Linked DNA regions of Cricetulus griseus. The protein of the gene in region 1 interacts with the protein of each later gene in a pairwise test. Links are inferred from orthologs where the notes say so. Each region holds a gene or a part of one and is shown in the gene's direction. Other genes may lie near its edges.

Evidence for each region.
Region 2: the proteins of Ddit3 (region 1) and Dbp interact in binary tests that used the Homo sapiens proteins (3 or more experiments, as listed by UniProt). The link is inferred for Cricetulus griseus from reciprocal best matches to the Homo sapiens genes DDIT3 and DBP.
Region 3: the proteins of Ddit3 (region 1) and Mcmbp interact in binary tests that used the Homo sapiens proteins (3 or more experiments, as listed by UniProt). The two-hybrid records come from large-scale screens. The link is inferred for Cricetulus griseus from reciprocal best matches to the Homo sapiens genes DDIT3 and MCMBP.

What each region holds. Positions count from the first base shown.
Region 1 is NW_023276806.1:130,434,705-130,438,451, reverse strand, and holds the start of Ddit3 (DNA damage-inducible transcript 3 protein), read left to right. Parts: upstream 1-1,472; 5' UTR 1,473-1,687; coding exon 1,688-1,727; intron 1,728-3,747. UniProt on the Homo sapiens protein: Multifunctional transcription factor in endoplasmic reticulum (ER) stress response. Plays an essential role in the response to a wide variety of cell stresses and induces cell cycle arrest and apoptosis in response to ER stress.
Region 2 is NC_048599.1:154,605,593-154,609,339, forward strand, and holds the start of Dbp (D site-binding protein), read left to right. Parts: upstream 1-1,282; 5' UTR 1,283-1,348; coding exon 1,349-1,487; intron 1,488-2,255; coding exon 2,256-2,666; intron 2,667-3,747. UniProt on the Homo sapiens protein: This transcriptional activator recognizes and binds to the sequence 5'-RTTAYGTAAY-3' found in the promoter of genes such as albumin, CYP2A4 and CYP2A5. It is not essential for circadian rhythm generation, but modulates important clock output genes.
Region 3 is NC_048596.1:72,047,455-72,051,101, forward strand, and holds part of Mcmbp (mini-chromosome maintenance complex-binding protein), read left to right. Parts: intron 1-2,206; coding exon 2,207-2,372; intron 2,373-3,261; coding exon 3,262-3,395; intron 3,396-3,647. UniProt on the Homo sapiens protein: Associated component of the MCM complex that acts as a regulator of DNA replication.

The sequences.
Region 1 (3,747 bases):
CTTGCCTCTCTTGAGTGCATGACAGACTGTGTGTGCTAGGCCACCACATGGCCTCTGTTTTCATGGCACAAAAAAATACGTTTCGCAAGGTGTTTTTTACTTTAGTTCAAGTTGCCCCCCTCACAGTGGTCTTTCCTTCCAAATCTCGTTCTTTCATTTACAAATTAAGGTAGAATCTGTGTTCCCTCCGGTAACGCAGTCCAGGGCAGGCATACGCTCAACTGCATGCACGTCCCAGTCCTTACTGTAGGTCATGACCCCAGACTCCTACAGGCCCGCTGCTCAGCAGGGAGTCACAGGACTTGCGGTCAGGGAGAAGAGAAAGGGTGGGCGCCGAGCAGGGGTGCGATAAGTAGGGGGTGGGACTCGGGTGCACGCTACAAAGAACAGGAATTCTGGCGTGCAGTGGGCGACTCAGAAACAAACGCCAAAGGTGCTCCCCCGAGACAAGCGGGTGGACTACCATGGAAATGCCAGGACCTCAGCCTCTGGGAAGCGTTAGGAGGTTAAAAGAGATGAGATCCCTTCTAAAGGGCTGGAGAAGATGTCAGTCCAGGTAGGACTAATGGAAACTTTATCGCGGTTCCAGGGCCTCGGCGCGCATGAGCTGGGAGGGGCCGGGAAGCTGGGAGTCTGGATGGAGGAGCAAGTTGGAGGTGATGGGAGGTGGGTGGGCAGAGCCGCAGCTCCTGGGCAGACAAGTTCAGGAAGGACAGCCGTTGGGGCCGTTGGATACTGGGAGCTGGCGCTCCGCCCTCTTCCCTCTCACCCCCCCACCCGCGCCTCCCACCACCGTCGGCGGCCCCTGCGCGTGCGCGCGCGCAGACACCGGTTGCCAAACATTGCATCATCCCCGCCCCCCGTCATCCCTCCCTCGCCGCACTCTCCTTCGCCCGCCCGCGCGCGCGCGCGCGCGCGCGCGTGCATGACTCACTCACCTCCTCCGCGGAGCCTCGTGACCCAAAGCCACTTCCGGGTCCGAGACAACGTAGCTCTCCAACCAGAGGGCGGGGCGGAGGCGGGGCCGAGGGGGCTCCTGAGTGGCGGATGTGAGGGGTGGGGCGGAGTCAGTGCCAGCGTGCCGCTTTCTGATTGGCAGGCTCCTGGGTCCCGCCCCCAAAAGAGGGGACGGGCCCGCATAAAATATCTTCTCTCGGCGCTGCAGAGGTCAGTAGCCTGAGTCTCACACTTCGGTCATATCATGTTGAAGATGAACGGGTGGCAGCGACAGAGCCAAAATAAAAGCCGGGACCTGAGGAGCGAGGCGAGTACCGACGCCGTCTACCCCTTCTTTCCCCATTCTCGCCAGCATGGCTAGTCCATAAAGTTGGGGGCGACTGCTCTGGAGGATGTAGCCCCACCCCTTCCAAAGTGGCCCTGTAGTCGGAGGGAGGGATGGAGGCGGGAGTCCCTGACCCTGGAGTGGCGCTCACATGACCCCTCTTCCTACGGGCGATTGCATCACCGTTCCCCTGCCTAGTTAGACTGTGCCGTTAGGCAGAGGGACTCTGGTTGTCCCCGGGAGATCCATCCTCCTCCTCTGTACGGCGAACTGCGGGCCATCCTAGGCCTGTCCGGTGAAAGGCGGGGCAGCAGGACACACCCCCATATAAAGGACTCTGGCTTTTCCCCCTCTTATCCAACAGCTTCGTTATCCCCGGCTCTCCCAAGCTCCTCGGGGGCCAGCATGGCCACCTTAGTCGCTGACCCTAAAGTTCAAGAGAATCGTAAGACTGACAGACCTTTGCTAGCGGGGTGCTGGTGGGAGGAGCACAGATGGGTTTTCCCCTTTTCCCCGGAGGCTTCTGTACAAGAGAGCAGCCTGGATCTGTAACCGTGGGACATTATTTGGGCTCTCTCCAGGGTCTTGTGCTGCTCCTAGGATTGAGTTCTGTCTCTTTCCCCAGTCCACTCCTCACTAATCTCTGTAACCATTGCGTCAGGCCGGCCCACTGTTTATCTCTGCGCCCTCTGGCCTGGGGCTCCACTGCTGATGAAAGCCAGGCCCCACACACTGGAAAACCGAGGGAGTTTCCCCCAGAGGACAGCCCTGCAGAGAAACACTCAGGGCAATATTGCATCTCCAGTCCCCAGAGATAGGCAGCACCGGCTCTGCCTCTGGGCTTAGCCCTCCATTCTCTGTAGGGGAAATTGGGGGAGTGGCTTTTTCCCTATTCATTCCTAACAAATGCTTAATAAACATCAACTATGTGCCAAGCATTTGAGAACCCAGAGTATATGAGGAGCAAAAGATAAAACTGATCTCAATTCGGCCTGGGCCTGTATTTCTGCAGAAAGCAAGAGCTGACAAATAAGAGTGCTCAGGATTGTGGGTGTTAGGAATTGCCTCACTGGGGTTTTTAGTGAAAGATCCAGAGAAGGCAAGCCTGTGAGCCATGCAGATAGAGTAAACGAGCTTTCCAGAAGGAACTGTGGGAGCAGAAGGGTTAAGATAAAGCATGTCTGGTAAAATAGGGCAGTGGCTGGATGGGAGTGAATATGAGAGAGGGTGGGGTAAACAGGAAGCCACTGGAGGGATCTGGGTAGAGGAATGAAATAAGGCCCAGTGTCATGGCATATGTATTTGATTCCAACACTCAGGCAGGGGCAGGCAAATCTCTGAGTTCAGGAGCCAGGACTACATAGTGAGACCTTGACTCAAATGAATACAAAAATAAAAGGATGGGAATGTAGCTCAATGGTAGACTGCTTGCCTAGCTTATAGAGGACCTATGGTCAACCCCCAACTATGAAACTAAACTAATAAAAGACAGGAATAGAAATGGTAGATCTTGATAGAGCATGGTGACATACACCTTAATCCCAGCACTCAGGAAGCAGAGGTAATAAAATCTGTGTGTATTTGAGGCCAATTTGGTCTACATAATGAGTTCCAGGACTGCCATGGCTACATCGTGAGACTCTGTCTAGAAAAAAAGAAATGGGAGATTTCTTGAATGAGTCTTCCACAGTAATCTTCGGGAAGTGAGGTAAATTGATTTCCATTTGGAAATAATGGGAACAGAAATACTTAGGCTTGCTGGATGGCAGTAACCCACACCTTTAATCCCAGCACTTGGAAGGCAGAGGCAGGTGGATCTCTGTGAGTTCAAGACCAGCCTGGTCTATAGAGCAAGTTCTAGGACCTTGTCTTGAAAAAAAAAGAAAGAAAATACTCAGGCTTTAGGTACTTAAAAAGAATGTATTAAAGCTGCCTGTGCTGCTTTATACTGAGTTGTGGGGATGTGAGAGGAGGAAGCAAGGATACCTTTTTTTTTTTTTTTTTTTTTTTTTTGATTTAAGCAAGTAGAGTTGCCACTTAGAATAATACAACCTAGGAAAGGAAAGGCCAGCAGGAGATTGTTGTAAATGCCTGATAGACATTCAAAAGGTGATATAGCAAGTAGACAACAGAGTTGGAGGTCCCAGGACAGGTCTAGACCAGAAGCGGCCAATATGATATTGGAGTATATGTAGCAAGTGCCACCCACATATTTTTCTCTTCCCTGTAGTGCAGCCCTCACTCTGGCAGATTTGAGGTCTATCTGGAATTTAGAGAAAGCTTAGTTGGCTAGGATGTTGCTATTATGTAATCAGGACAAATGTCAGTAACTAAAAATAAAATCAAGCTTGCCTCTGTCCTTGGAATTGGCGCACGTGTGTGTGTGTGTGTGTGTGTGTGTGTGTGTGTGTGTGTGTGTGTGTGTGTATGTGAGAGAGAGAGAGAGAGAGAGAGAGAGAGAGAGA
Region 2 (3,747 bases), on another chromosome or scaffold:
ATTTTCTCAACAGGGTACATGGTACAGTCCAGATTCCCATTTCCTCTTCAAGTACTACAACCTTTACGCAGACCGTCAGCCTAATCTGCACGTTCCGTCTGACCTTCTTCCCTCCCTATATAGTCTGAGAAGCTATTTTCCCCAACTTGGTATATTCCAGCCCTCGTTAGCAGCCAGATTGTGGCAGAGCCTTCTGCGCTCAACCTCCCCACCACAAGCCGGCACCTTCTTTTGCAGTGGATGCTGGTTCTCATGGTCGCTGAGACCCCCTACGAAGATTACTCCCGCCTGTCCTGAGCTTCCTCACGAGGAAAGGGGAGTCACCCTAAAACAAACCTATTAAAGGACTGAATGCTTCCAGCCTCTCGTGGGTTTGATTCTCAGTCGCGATTGAGAAGTATCTGGGTATTAGTAACTAATCCTTCTTGAAGCCCACTTCTTTCTGCCTTAACATGCTCTAATTGGCGCTCTGCGCTTTTCCCAAGCAATGAGCCCGTGAATAGGCTGCTCCTTTAAGATGCACCCCTCCTGCCCCACACCCGAATCCGACTGCACGCGCGGAGCCATGTGCTTCCCCCTTCTTCCTGCCTCATTGGCTCGAAGTGGGTCACGGTCCCGCCCCCAGTGCCTCCTCTCATTGGCCAAATGTAGGTCAGTGTCCCGCCTTCTTCCAAAAGGAGAGGCAACTTCACAAGCTCAACCCCTCACGCGCCTCCAGGGTCTTGGCAGATTCCGTCACCTCATTGGCCGGGCATCTCAAGGGTTCGAGACCTGATTGGCCTTGATTGAAGCCGGAGGCAGGCACGCGGCTGGGATGCATGGCCCAAGAGGAGGAGGGGGCCCGGAGGAGGGGCACGCGCTCTGACTTCGGGTGTTTTGGTTTGGATTTTTTTTTTTCCGCGAAATAAGTTTGCTTTTGCCACGCCTCAAGGCTGCCGCCTCCTCCTCCCCCGGGCGCACACCTCTAGGTGCAGACTGCAAAGCTCCTTTCCTTGCGAGAAGTGCAAATTTTTCGAGAGCCAGAGGCTCGCCCACCTGGTACAGAAGGAGTGCGCGCCTGTGTCCCTTGGGGACCCTCAGTTGCGAAGAAGAGACAGCTGCTTGGTCACCCACTTGCCCAGACTATAGGATCCTCCCGGGACACTCTTTGAGTTACAGCTTTCTGCAGAGGACTGGCTGACCCCCGCAGAGCTCTTAGGATTTTCAGCGTTCTGATATTGGAGGCTTGCACACCGCGCTCTCCCGACCCTGGGTCACACTCGTCCGAACCACAGGAGTGTGCAGGTGACTGGCATATCATCTCTTCGACTCTCCATGAGCTCATGAACCTGGGAGCAGGTGTCCGGCGATGGCGCGGCCTCTGAGCGACAGGACCCCGGGCCCCCTGCTGTTGGGAGGCCCGGCCGGGACCCCCCCTGGTGGGGGAGCGCTGCTTGGGCTGCGGGGCCTTCTACAGGGGACCGGCAAGCCCAAAGAGCCAGCCAGCTGTGAGTTCTAGTCCCACTGTCTTAAGGACTCAAATGTTGGGGTGGTGGTCTATGGCACCTATGTGCTAGGTGCCCCATCTTTGCCAGTCCTCATTCGGTCACTCAGGTGTTTAGTCTCTCTCCATCCATGGCCAAATCTGATATCCGAAAGGCCCAAGGGTCTAGTCCCCAAAGTCTTCCGCCATTAGGACCTACTCTATGTGCCAGCCCCCAGTTTTTCCCCTTTAGTCTCGAGTCTGGACCCCTGTAGTCCTGGGGAAGGGAGGGGGTGTGTCGGATGCTCACACGGTGCTGACACGGGTTTGGGCGGGGCCTCAACGCTCACATGGAAACTAGAGATGAGGAATGTGCCTGAGCAGTGGAGCCCCTTCCTGCCCCTAACGTTGTGGGGGAGGGGATGAGAGGGCCAGGGGTGGGGGAATTACTGAGCTGTCACTTTTTGTCTCTCACCTTTGACCCACCCTGTCTCTAAATCCCTCTTTCTAAACTTCCATCCTTTTCCTCTGGGTTGTTCTGTGTTTCTGTCTCTATCCTCTATACACTCTATACACTGTTCCTCTCTCTGGGTCTCTTCAACCCCGTCTGTATGCCTTTCCTCTTTCTGGGCGCCTGTCTCCCTACCTGTTCCCACATCTCTGGGTCTTTGCTCTACTGCTCCCATCTCCTCACCTCTCTGCATCTCCGCCATGCGGGTCTCTATACTTCATCTCTTCATTTGGGGTCCCTCCTGTGTGTCTCCACCCCATCCCGTCTCTCCCTGACCCACAGGTCTCCTAAAGGAAAAGGAGCGGAAGGCGACTCTGCCCTCAGCTCCCATCCCGGGACCGGGCCTGGAAACGGCTGGCCCAGCCGATGCCCCGACTGGGGCGCTTGGTGGCGGTGGGTCCCCGCGGGGGCGCTCAGGGCCGGCGGCTGGCCCGAGTCTTTTTGCGCCGCTGCTGTGGGAACGCACTTTGCCTTTCGGCGACGTGGAATACGTGGACCTGGACGCCTTCCTGCTGGAGCACGGGCTCCCGCCGAGCCCGCCGCCCCCCGGGGTCCTGTCGCCGGCACCCTCTCCAGCTCGCACGCCCGCGCCCTCCCCGGGGCCCGGCTCTTGCGGCTCCTCTTCCCCCCGCTCCTCGCCGGGGCACGCCCCCGCGCGGGCTACTCTGGGAGCCGGCGGCGGCCACCGCGCAGGTGCGGCGAAGGGGCGGGGCTGGCGGGCAGGGGATGGGCTTCGCGACGCTCTTGGAAGTCTGCCCAATGAGATGCGGCGGTCCGTTAGGGGACCTGGGCCCCCAAATGTGAGGGTTATCCGGTGAGAGGCTGTGTTTTTCTTCAGGAAAAAGCTTCCTCACGTTCCCGGAGTCAAGACTAGAAACTCAGAACACTTAGTTAACTGGGGAGCGGACTGACTCCAAGTCTGTGTCCAGAATTTTGCGAAACGAGATAGGACTGGACTTGAAGGACATCAAAAATGGGAGCAGGCCAGAGCTGGGCACTAGGTTCCCGGATCCTCTTCCCCCACCCCCAGTGGAAAGGATGTTGCACCCTGGCTCCCAGAGTCTTTTAGCAGAGAATGTCGGGGTACCGACTCTGTGTTGTCCATATTCCTGCGACTGGGACTTAGTATCAGAGTTGTGGGAGTCCCGGTGTCAAAGGGCCTGTCAGGCCGGTTGGTTCTCCCATGATCCCCATAAACGCGGGGTGGGTGGGAAAAATCCTTGGAGTTGTTGGAGCTGAGACCAAAAGGAACAAGAGGGGAGGCGACCCCTATCAAGACAAGGAGTCTCGTTGTGGGACGCCTGGGTACACCTGTCCCTGATCCGACCTCCAGGCAAAACCAGTGCTGCACATTCACGCGCCACGTGAGTCCTCCCTCCCTGCTGCGCGCACGCGCTCTCACGCGCGAGGAGGCGGGGCCCGGGAATGTGAGGGTGCGTGGTGGGGGAGGGAGGGGGAAGCAGTCGGTCACACGTGATGTGGCCCTGAACCCGTGTCCTCGGCTGGCCCCGGCTTGTCTGTTCTTAAAGACACAGGCATCATGCTTTTTTAGCCAACTCCTGGAACCTCGGGGCAGTTCTGCTTTTCCATCACTCTTAGGAGTGAGTCTAACAGGTTTAAAACTCTGAGCATACAGAAAATACAGTAAGTAGGATTCAGACAAGAGAGTGGTAACAAAATAAATACCAAATCTTAAGTTTTAAGGTTTTAGACGCTATTAGCAGACTCACAGGACATTTAAGTCCAGTTATTTGTGTCTTAGTCATAAAGGTAG
Region 3 (3,647 bases), on another chromosome or scaffold:
GTTTGGACCTTCAGTTTGGTCCTTTGTGTGCATATTAAACTTAAAATCTAAATAAGCTCTAAATTATACGAGCCAATTCTCTCAGCCGAGGTAATAAAGCGGCCTATCTCCATACCCTAGTTTTAGGTGCTGTTTGGAAGCATCTGGAACATACCATCTGTGTATTGGGATCTTGGGAACAGGAGAATTACTCTGATGAGTTGTGTAACTAAAAATGCTGGCCAATTCTATGGGATTTAAAAAGTGAAGCCAGGTCCTTAACTGAACAGCCTGTCATGTCTGTACTTCAGGCCCTGCAGAAGCAGCAGAGTTCTGAGGACTTAGGGCCATATTCAATGGGCTATGCTTTCCCTAATTTCTGACATTAGTAATTAAAACTGAAGACATGTTGAATAATCCATTAGATTTATCAACATAGTGATAAAACTGACACTGTTTTGCATTTTACCAAGCTCTTGAATTTCTAAAGTAATGGGAGACCCCTAGATTTTTAGTCCGTTCCCAAATTCACACCTGTGGTATGTTTTGATCTGGTGTGTTTCTTAGATGATAGCACATTCTCTATAGTGAAAACACTCTCTGCCCTCTATTTTGAAAGAGTAAGAGTAAAAATGGGACTTTCATTCATAGACCCTGTTAATAGGATCTTAGCAGTTCCCTAGGCCTACAACTCCTGAAATAGGATCTCTGAGTTATGTGTTTGTGGTTCAAGACCAAGAAAGTAATCGCTGGTGTGTGCTTTTAAAAGTTACAGCAGAACACTGAAACCCTTGAAATGGGATGGGAACACTGGGGGTGCCCATATACCCATTAATACAGAAGGGAGCAGACCTGGTGGCTGCCCGGGAACATATCATGTTTTCTTACCTGGAGGACAGGCAAAGGCAGTAAGGAACAGCGTGACTTCTAAGGGATGTCAGCAAAGAAGCTGGTGTGGTACCAGCTGTGCCAAAAGCCATCAGATCTCAGTTGTGAGGCCAGAGGTTCTTGGCACACTGAAGACACTGGCTACATTATTACATGGGAGGGTGGCAGAAGGGGCTTAGAGACGACAATGTGGTAGGTGTTTGCATTTTATTCTGGTTAATTTTCTTGCTTTGCTTTTTTCTGACCCTGTCTCTTTTATCACTCTTAGCATACTGGTTGGTACTAGGCCCTTTCTCAATTGTCTTCTCTCTGTAATACAACGTTCAGCTTTTACTACTGGTTAAATGTGTCCTGCCTGTAGGTCTACGGCAGAATCAGCCCCAGCCCCAGCACATGGACACTTTTTTGTTTTAAAGTGTGAAATTTTTATGTATATAAGTGTTTGGCTTGCATGTATATCTGTGCATCACAAACATGCTTGGTGCCCATGGTGGTCAAAAGAAGGTGTTGGGTAACCTGCAACTGGAGGTATGGATAGCTGTGAGCCACTGCTGGGAATAGAGCCCATGTCTTCTGCAACAACCAGTGTTCTTAACCACTGAGCCATCTCTACAGCCAGCTACCTTTTTTGACAAGCCCTGCCTCTTCTGAGATTTCATCTGTATCTGTAAACAATTCCTGTCCTCTTTTTAAGAGTAATTGAGCTAAAGTACAAAATTCTCTTAAATTTTGGCTGTAGTCTTCTTCCTCCTCCACAAACTTCCCATGCCTTGCTTTTCTGGAGGCTGGAACATATATGAGTAGAGCAATCTAGAGCAGACAGGAGACTGTTGAGTGTGTTAGAGGCAGAGATGGGGGAGGGCCATGCTCTGGGCTGTAGTGTTGACAGTGAGGTCTGCAGTGGTAAAGGAATGGGGGCTTTCAGTCACAGAGCCTTTTCTCTGGCCTCCGTGAGGAGGACCAGCAGTTCTTATGTTTTACTAGTTCCTATCCCTTAATGAGGTTCAGCTTCTGGGGATGTTATGTTTGAACCTCAGTTGTTTACCATTTGTTTCAGAGTAAAATTTACTCATCAAGACTTGAAAAAAACAAATTTTCTTTGTATCTCTGTGTGGCCTTCTCTGTTTAGCATGTTCCAGGCCCAGCTGAAGACAGAACAAGCAGCTATCTATAAGAAGCATGGGTTGTAGTGTGGCCACAGTTCCTAAGAGAGACATTTGTCTCTCCCTTAGAAATGATATACCATGTGAAACACAAATGTTTTGACTCCAAATATGTATCTGTGCATTTTTTTAAATAGAGAAACTTGTATCCTTGCTCATTACAATTTCTGTCTCAGTCTTTTCGTCTACAGATGACAATAGAAAACATGAACCAATTGAAATTCATTCCCCACAAAGACTATACAGCCAATCGATTGGTCAGCGGTCTCCTCCAGCTGCCCAACAACACGTCCCTGGTCATTGATGAGACTCTTCTAGAGCAAGGGCAGTTGGACACCTCAGGTACGCATGCAGATGCCTCCTGACCCCTTGTGGCTTTACTCCATTTAGCCAGATCTAGCAGTGGCTTCCAAGACAAAGTTACATTTAACAAATATTTTTAAAACATTCATTTGACTAAAGCATATACTACAAATTATACACCAACTGTTTTGTTATGTCATGCTGTTGATTGCTTATTAGCTCAAAAAAGGATACAAAAGATTTAATGTAATATTTTATATTTCTCATAAACAGTTTTTATAGTTTGGGGGGGATAGAGCATATGGTTTAAACTAACATCAGCTATGTAACATGTTAAAAATGACAAAGAACATACTAGATCATGCCCACATGGAGAGAATGCAGGTGATATTGTGCTGGTATGAGGCTGAGGCACAAAAGGTGGATGGGAGAAATAATGAGTGTTTGGAATTTGTGAGCCAAAGTGGAGCATAGAATCAGTAAAGATTAGCCAGAAGTGGTGGCACCCACCTGCATTGGTGGTAGAGACAGAAGAACTAGGAGTTCAAAGCTAGCATGGGCTTCAATAAAACCCTGTCTCAAAAATACATAAATTGGGAAAACTCAACAACCTCACTTTCTAAAGAAATCATTTTCCTATCTAATCATAGCCATGACCTAAGAAGTAATGAACTTATCTGAGTTCTACTTTGTGTCTGGTATTAGATTTGGGTGTATTTTGGCCCCAGAAAGTTCAAGTTGGCCTATTATTGTCTGTGTAGCTTATCTAGTTGACATTTGACTTGCCAACATTCTGCTTGCTAAATTGTTGGCTACTGTTATCTTTCTTTAAGCAGCAGAAAACCACATGTCCTATTATCATTGCCAGCCAAGCTAATTTGCGTAGGTGATTAAAATATCACTGCCAGTAACAGTCTTCCTCTTCCAGGTGTTCATAATGTGACTGCGCTGAGCAACCTGATAACCTGGCAGAAGGTGGATTATGACTTCAGTTACCACCAGATGGAGTTCCCGTGCAGTATCAATGTGCTCGTCACATCTGAGGGGCGGTCACTGCTCCCGGTATGATGGCCCCCGGCTAATAGAAGGAGGTTACAGTGCAAAGATTATTGTTGCCATTTTGTCCGTTTTTATTATTTTCTGTCTGTGTGTGCAGGTGCACGCACTTGTGTCAAGAGCAGGGGTCAGCTTCAGGGCTTGTTTCTCAGGAACCATACACCTTGTGTTATGAGTGTCCAGCAAACCCCAGATTCATCTGCCTCACTTCCGGTCACCCATCATTTTTGTGTAGATTCTAGGGATTAACACTAGTCC